Drosophila melanogaster: one gene and its partner. The protein of the gene in region 1 interacts with the protein of each later gene in a pairwise test. Each region holds a gene or a part of one and is shown on either strand. Other genes may lie near its edges. The genes, in order: CG34165 and CG6479.

The links.
Region 2: the proteins of CG34165 (region 1) and CG6479 interact in a two-hybrid assay, tested with the Drosophila melanogaster proteins (one large-scale study listed by BioGRID).

Annotation. Positions count from the first base shown.
Region 1 is NT_033779.5:14,711,751-14,715,165, reverse strand, and holds CG34165 (uncharacterized protein), read right to left. Parts: upstream 1,417-3,415; 5' UTR 1,338-1,416; coding exon 1,326-1,337; intron 1,235-1,325; coding exon 947-1,234; 3' UTR 640-946; downstream 1-639. Other genes in the region: CG15282 (uncharacterized protein), read right to left, coding at 2,114-2,341, 2,413-2,424.
Region 2 is NT_037436.4:17,336,442-17,340,959, reverse strand, and holds CG6479 (uncharacterized protein), read left to right. Parts: upstream 1-1,697; 5' UTR 1,698-1,780; coding exon 1,781-1,803; intron 1,804-1,823; exon of another isoform or gene 1,824-1,848; coding exon of another isoform or gene 1,849-1,859; coding exon 1,860-2,164; intron 2,165-2,223; coding exon 2,224-2,831; intron 2,832-2,887; coding exon 2,888-3,217; intron 3,218-3,276; coding exon 3,277-3,639; 3' UTR 3,640-3,788; downstream 3,789-4,518. Other genes in the region: CG13727 (uncharacterized protein), read left to right, coding at 1-37, 167-681.

The DNA of each region.
Region 1 (3,415 bases):
GATACGTATATAGTATATATATCTATATATATATATATCTTTGTATATATATTCAGCAGATAGCAAAGGATAGATAAGGGTAACCCACAACAACAATATTCCGGCACCAATGGGCACTATTGCCACGGCTAAGTTCCCTGTGTGCTCCGTAGTCGCACTTACAACTAAAAACTTGTTACGTATTTAATTGCAATTAAAAAGTTGTTTTGTAGTTACGAGTGTTGGTGCTCTTGGCTTTCTTGGTGGATGGCGCTGGCTGTATAGCTGACTGGCGTTGTTTTGTCAGACAGGCAACTACAGGATGGCTTCGAAATTGTCTCCAATAACAAAACCAGAACCAAAACCCCAAAGACTCTGAAGCCGGGATGAAGTCATTACAAGGCGAAATGAAAATGCGTGGAAAAGAAGCCAAAAGGGTTTTCCGCTTAATGACTTTGATGGTGTTTCGGTGCTTTCGGATAAAGGAACCAAAAATGCCACCGACCCTTCCACACCCACTTGCTCTCCTCTGATTTCAACGATAGCACTCATTAGAGTTTTGCGATTTTTGGCTTAAAACTTTGGCCATAACAATTGGCCATGGCCATCATCGCGATTTTGACACAAAACACGAAGTCATTGCTGAATTCACATCCAAATAGCAGGCAAATTGTCTGCTCCTTGGCCTCGTAAACAAATTGTTTGTATTTGATTTCGTGTAATTTTATATGACAAAGCGTTATTGCTTTATTAAACTAAAATTAGCTTGGTTTTGCATGAACTAGTATTAAATATTTAAACTAGGATTATAGAAAAGCATTATTATGTCTTGGTTTATAATTGTGTGTTTTTAAAAATATTTATTTATCGTGTGTTTATCTCTACGATCATGGCTTTAGTTAATGGCTTGCTTTTGAGTTCTATAGATAGTGGTCAGTCTATGTCTAGTTTCCCTCACTAAGGAGCTTTAGCCGAAGAAGTTAAATAGGTTCTCCTGCTGCTGTTGCTGCTGACCTCCACCGCCTTGCTGCTGCTGCTGTTGCTCCTGGAAGAACTCCACTCCGCCGCCGAAAGGACCTCTGAAGATGACACCCTCCTCCTGCTGTTGCTGCTGCTGACCACCGCCAAAGCCGCTTTGCTGCTGCTGCTGTTGTTGTTGCAGACCACCTTCAAATCGTTCAATACCCCTAATAATTTGACCAAACGGACCGAACTGGGCCGATGCAAAGGCGAGGAGCGCAACAAAAACGATTATCTAAAAAAATAATACATACAGTACAATACATTTAGTTTCAACTAAAAAATAACGTAGATGTCTATATTAGCCAATTTTTAGCGAAAAATACCGTGAATTTCATGTTGAATATTGAAAATATTCCTCAAGCGAACAATCTTATTTCACCGGAATGCTAAAATCAACTGTTTGAGTTTCGGCTGCTGGCTATGAGTATTTATCTGAATTTTTGTTAGGCTTTATGCCCATTCAAAACTGGTTGAGCACGGTGCGATCGCCGCTCGGACTTCCCTGTTCAAATCATTGTGAACGTTTGTGTTTATAGGGGATTTTTTCTGTTGTTGAAAACGTTCAAGTATCTGGGGTTGACGGGCCCACTAAAAATACAGGTTTGCAATCAGCTCTTCTTGGCGTATGCTCTTCGCTAATCAAATTAGGTTTTTTGTTAAATTATTGCTGTCAGAACATTTGGTTATTTCACAATTTTGCATGAGTCAGTATCTGCCTTTGGTTTTTATGCCAACATCATTTGCGAATTATTCAAGTGTTTGCAATTAATGTTGTTATAGCACAAAAATGTCATTAACCCATTAAGTGATTTTCGATTAGCTAAATAAAAACAATTTTTTATGTTGAAACACAAATTTTTAATTTAATTTAATAATTCATTTTTCTTGATGTTGCTTATGTCCAAAAAAATAAACCCAAACGTATTTATAAGCAAGCGAAATAAATGAAGGTTACTCATTAATAAAATCTCTGTCGATCTAAAGGCCTACAATAAGCCATTGTCAAAACATGTAAATGAGTATTTAAAAACAAAAACTGTTTTGTGTTTGTTATACTAATACGTTCAAATAATTTATTTTAATTTTTAGTCGAGGAACTAAAGTAACAGCCTTAGAAGAAGCCTCCTTGTTGCTGCTGCTGCTGCTGCTCGATTCCTCCAAATCCGCCGAATCCACCGAAGCTTTCCTGCTGCTGTTGCTGTTCTCCGAAGCCTCCGAAACCGCCGAATCCTTCTTGCTGCTGCTGTTGGCCACCGAATCCTCCGAATCCACCGAATCCTCCATATCCGAATTGAGGAAGCGCGGAAGCAACGGCGATAAGGGCCACAAAAACGATCACCTGAATGGCCGTTTATTATTTTTATAAAGTCCTTAATCCCTGCGAGGTGTAGCTCTGGTGGCCAAACTTACCAAGAATTTCATATTGAATTTGAAAATGAATTCAATTTGTACTAATATCCCAGAAGATGAGGATGCTTCGATGTTGCACTCGATACTGTGCCCTTTCTGTCACGTCTTTCTCTATTTATACGATTTTTTTGAATTCATATAATGTTTGAATTTCGGAGGTTCTTTACCCGCACTGAAATAAAAACTTGTCCCAGACACTGGACCAGACGTGGGGGCTTTCCTCACAGGTGACCAGCGTTTCTCTTCCAATCCGGTTTTGAATTTGTTGTGGTTATTGACCGGTTTCCATTTTTTTTTAGGGGAACAGGCGCCAGGTGCGTGGCTTTTGATATGAATTTTAATAGTTTGCCAATTTATATTTAAATAGTATTTTTACTGAATTTATGACTAAGCTATTCAGTTTCTAGAGGCACGTTTCCAAGAATCAATATATTGAACCCAAACTAGACGTTGTTGATGCTACTTGACGTTGTTGATGATGCCTTTGTTTCTGGGGTTCTCAAAACAAATTTGCTTCCTTACTCTAATGTTTACCATAGAATCACATTAATGTGTTACGTGTATATATAATTATTGAATCTTACTGAGCTGGACATTTGAACAAATCACCCCTTCCAATTGCCACATTTATATCCGGGCAAAAGTAAATGCAAATGAGCGTAAAAAAAACATATTTTTTTCAATTCGGTTACATTTCGTTGAGATAAACAAATTCCATTGACATAATCAAAAGAAACTTTGTTGTTTTCTTATTTCGTTGGCGTTCACTTCAAGAGCGGTCCAAACGAAGCGAACCAAGCTCACTCAATAGATAAGTGTCTCGATGGGGAATCACCTGCAGCGAATGGGGAATACTGGCGACCGGAGACCGGAGACCCTGGAAATTTTACCGTACCTCGACGAGGGTGAAGTGAAATTGCATTTGGTGTGCGGCGCCAGCGGCAATCGAGTTTGGCAATACGTGTTGCCTTTAACTTGGCTCTTAACCCTGCCATCCGAAAAG
Region 2 (4,518 bases), on another chromosome or scaffold:
AAACTAGGTGGGAATATACACGATCGAATAAGCGTGGGTGAGTTCAAAGATTACTCAATCTATATATTCTACAAAGATAAACTCAAACTTAAAATGATTAATATTTGAAATTGATGACTGTTGTTTATTGTAGATTTCATTAAAAATATATTTAATACTATTTAAGGGCATTATGGCAGCAGTGGAAGTGCTGGCAAAAGTTACGCCTATGACAGTCAACCTTATCAGTATGACTACGGACCATCCAACGGACATGGCTATGAGCCAGGACCTGCTCCTGGGCACACCTACTCCTCCAGCGGAGAGGCAGGGGTGCCATACCACGTTTATCGACCTCGACCCGAACATGGCCACTACCCGGGGCCAGCAGTGGATTACTCCTACAGCTCCTACCCCATCGACTCCCACGAGATAGTCTCCCACAAGGGATCGCCAGAGATCTCACCAAAGGCCTTGCTGGCCAAAAGCTTCCTGATTCCGCTGGCCAGTGCCACCGTTCTGGGCATCGCCGCCGCCCTGGTCAGTAATCCTCTCCTGCTGCAACTAGCTCCTGTTCCGGGGATCGGTGTGGGAGTGGGTGTCGGACCTACAGTCGTTGGCAAACGAAGAAGGAGAAGAAGGGCAGTGAAGCGGGCTTTACGATCAGGGAATACTGATGCAAAACTGAATAGCTCTATCTAAGTACCGTCCTCTCGAAAATGTATTAAATCAGGAAACAATATATAAGATATTATTTTTAATATATCATATAGTTACAAGCGTGTTTTTTATTTAAAGTCAGTGATGGCATTTAAATAATTTTAATAATTTAAATAATTTAAATTAAGGGTCTAATGCTACGAGAGCCTAATAATTAGTTGTCTATATGGAGAGAATAAGATAACGTAATTTTAAGTGACTTGTGGAACCTTTTGTAATGGCTATATGTAAGTTTTTTTTTTACATTAGATTGCGTAATTAGTCGACTGAGGTTCAAACCGGCTCGTTGGTCTAGAGGTATGATTCTCGCTTCGGGTGCGAGAGGTCCCGGGTTCAATTCCCGGACGAGCCCCAGTCATCCCAGTGCGCTAAGGAATGTATAATTTTTAAACAAAAAAGTTATATTTTATAAATATTTATTTTAAAATATTTTTAAGTTATTGAGAATACACATTTAGTTGCATGTGTACACAATTATATACAATTTACTTAGGGAATGAAATAAATTAAAAGTTATTTTATATCATTAAAAACAAACTAAATTAAATTAAATTAAGGAATTTTTTAGCGTCCTCATAAATGTTGCAAAATTGTTGAGTCTTCGGTTTTGTACGGCTTATGTCATAATATATTGAAGATAGAGAAAAAATTTGTTTAAAAAACAGCTAATTTTATAACTACTCTAAAAAATATTATAAAACACTGCATTTAAATGATAAATTAAAAGTTGCTGATAAGTAATACGTTTAGAGTGGGTGAATAGCTTTAAACATTCGGATAAACAAAAAATCATTTTAAAAATCATAAAAATAATTTTAGTTCTATTAAAAAATATGATATCATGGATATTGATCCATACCAAAGAAAACATCGCCGATAGGTGTGTGTCTTCGCTAGGGAAAGTGTCTCCGCTAAGGTATCTTGAGCCAACAAAGTACATAACGCGTTTCATTCCAAACGGTATTTATTTTTTGACCTTGTGGTATTCTAACTTTTTGTCTGTGCTATCACTTACAAACAAGTTTTCCCGGCATTTTCGACCTATTCAGGTGATTTTCTAATAATTATCACATAGTAGGCAATGAATTTTACACGGACTAATTGGTAAGTGACAGAAACTAGTGTAGAATTCAGAAAATTAACCCATGAATGCTCCTCAGCTCGCCGCTGAGTAAAAACCCAGTGGTGCAGCGCAGCCTGGACTTGCGATTGCAGGGCGCCCAAGCGCGGCATTACCTCAAGTGGTGCTCCATAAATGTGGTGCTGCTGTCGCTACTCCTCTTCGACCTCTGGCAGGCATGTCGGTCCGCCTACAGGACCTACTGGTTCCTGGCGGAGTGCACCATTACGACCCTGATTGGCCTAAGTGCACTCGCCTGCTTCGGCAAGTATTTGTGGTTATGGTTTGGTGGTGACCAAGTTACGGGTAGCGATATCCAAAAGTGGCTGCTTGATGGCAAGGCAGGTGAGGAATCCAAAGGAACCCGTTCTAACGCATCCACTTAACCACTTTTATTCCTATAGAGAACTCTTTTCGTACAGTTTGCTCCCGAGCCGTGATGAAACCACGCAGCTACGAACCGGATAGCGATATAGAGGACGACATACCCATCATCAACTGGCACTCCTCCTTCGAGGACTCCTGCTGGGGCTCGCAATCCATGCGCCGCAGCCCCAGTCCCACAAGGACGCCGCAGCAGACGAAACAAAACACCTCTTACAACTCCTCGATGGTTCGAAACAACTCGCTGAATGCCAGCAATCTGAGCAACGAGTCTACCTATATGTCCCCGTATGCGGAGGTGCGACGCGATGACTTCATGACCGATACACGAAAGTTGACCAGTCTAATGAAGCAGGCGGATCGGGAGCGCAGCATGATGGACAGCTCGGATACACCCAATGTGCAGAGCATGGGATCGGCCAACTCCTTCTGGAACTACTGCAACAATGCGGCCTATATGCTCAAGACCACCATCTATCAACTATCGCCACCTCCGGCTGTTTCTACGGAAAATGCTCCCACCTCGATTGAGGAGTTTGGCGGTATTCAGTTTAGGGACAGCAATTCGGAGGTCATCAAGCGCATATCCACGGACAAACTGTCGCAATATGTGGCCAACCTAAGATTTGTAAGCATCCCGTTCAATATTCCACTGCAACGTACTAATGTCTTACCATTTTCTAGTGGATTTCTACGACCATACTTCAGCGTTTGGTCAAAGAGATCAATTATGTGGACGATGTTTTCCGCCAGCGAGCTCTGATTGACATTAAAATTGGATCTGTGAGTGTAGAGAGATTACGCAAAACAGCCGAGAACCAGCAGTTCGTGCAGACGTGTGCGCCCATGTTGCCCATGCTCTTACCTTTCCTGGACACCTTCAGCAACCAGGAATACCTGGTGCAGCGCATCAAGGAGCTTGCGCAGGGCTCTTGCATAGCTGACTACCGCTGGTACTCGGGCAAAACACACAACGGTCAGCAGCGGGACGAGCATTTGCCCACCGATGCAGCTGTGAGTATACGAAATTCCGCAACTGAGCACTCTTGATTAATTGTAACCTCATTCTGCAGATAATATTCCATTTATTTTGCGTGTACTTGGATAGCCAGTTGATGCCGTTGCCGCAGGGCGGCGGACGACCCTTTCACTCCCGCTACGTGTTAATTCGCGACGAGAAGAGCTCGACCAAGGACGTGGTGAACGCAGTTCACAACAAGGCCCACTGCGCCATTTTAAGTACCGGCAACCCACTTAACCCTAAATTTAACTTTATCAGCGACAAAGAACTACACAACTGCGTCTACGATAGGAATAACCTGTTCTACGTTATCATACAGTTCCTAATTTATATGCGACAGCACCAGGACTCTGCTCTGGAGTGCGTAAATCTTGGCAAAAGTGGTATCAACATCATGTGCGTCATCGAAGACTGAACAGTGGAACTAGTGGCTATGACTTTTAATCCCACCCCTAATCACTCCTTACTTCTAAGCATGATCCTTTGTGACTCGACTAGCGTTTGGTGACTGGACAATCCTCATCATTCGTTACTATGAAATTATACATTTGTAATTATTAAGCCAACTTACGACTGTTGTGGTTTCGCGGTTATCAAGTGTCGTGTGGCCTGCGGTCTGTGCAATTAACTTGTTTGGCAGTCGGCGGTAAGCTATATTCGCGGATATGTGCACACAGGTGCCCGACTTTAATTGCCCTTTCATGATTCTCACTATTGACCAGCCAGTTGGTGACCTGGCCATTGGCTCGGCCAGCGACATGCTCCCACATGCTCGCCACTTTGCACTTCCGAAAGTGACAAAATTAATGGTTTCCGCCGACGCTGTCGACATTTTGTCGAGTGAGAGACATTGAGAAAATGCTCCAAAGTAGTGCAAAATGAAGGAGTCGCAAACGGAGACCCCTAAAGCAGGCGCCAGGACGAGCAGGACCTGGGCCCTCTCGACCAGTCACATTACCATTTCTCTTGGCCATGCTCATTTCTGGGCTCTGGCTTGACGTTGAATCGGTTGGCTGGTTATTTTAATGCCGCCCATACTCCCGGATGCCCGGATGGCTGGATGGCTGGCACCTCGGGTGAGTAATGTGCCTGGGTTGTCAACTTTACACTTTTATCCCTCGCATTATATTTGCTTTACCTACACAAACACACACACTCAGCCACCCAACCGAACCGAAGCGAACCACACACCCTGTGTGTGTGTGTGTGTGTGTGTGTGTGTGTGGAGTGATATGTTTTCCTGATACTTTTTCTCAAGTTGTAAATTGGCTTAAAAATAATTTGTCAAAGCATT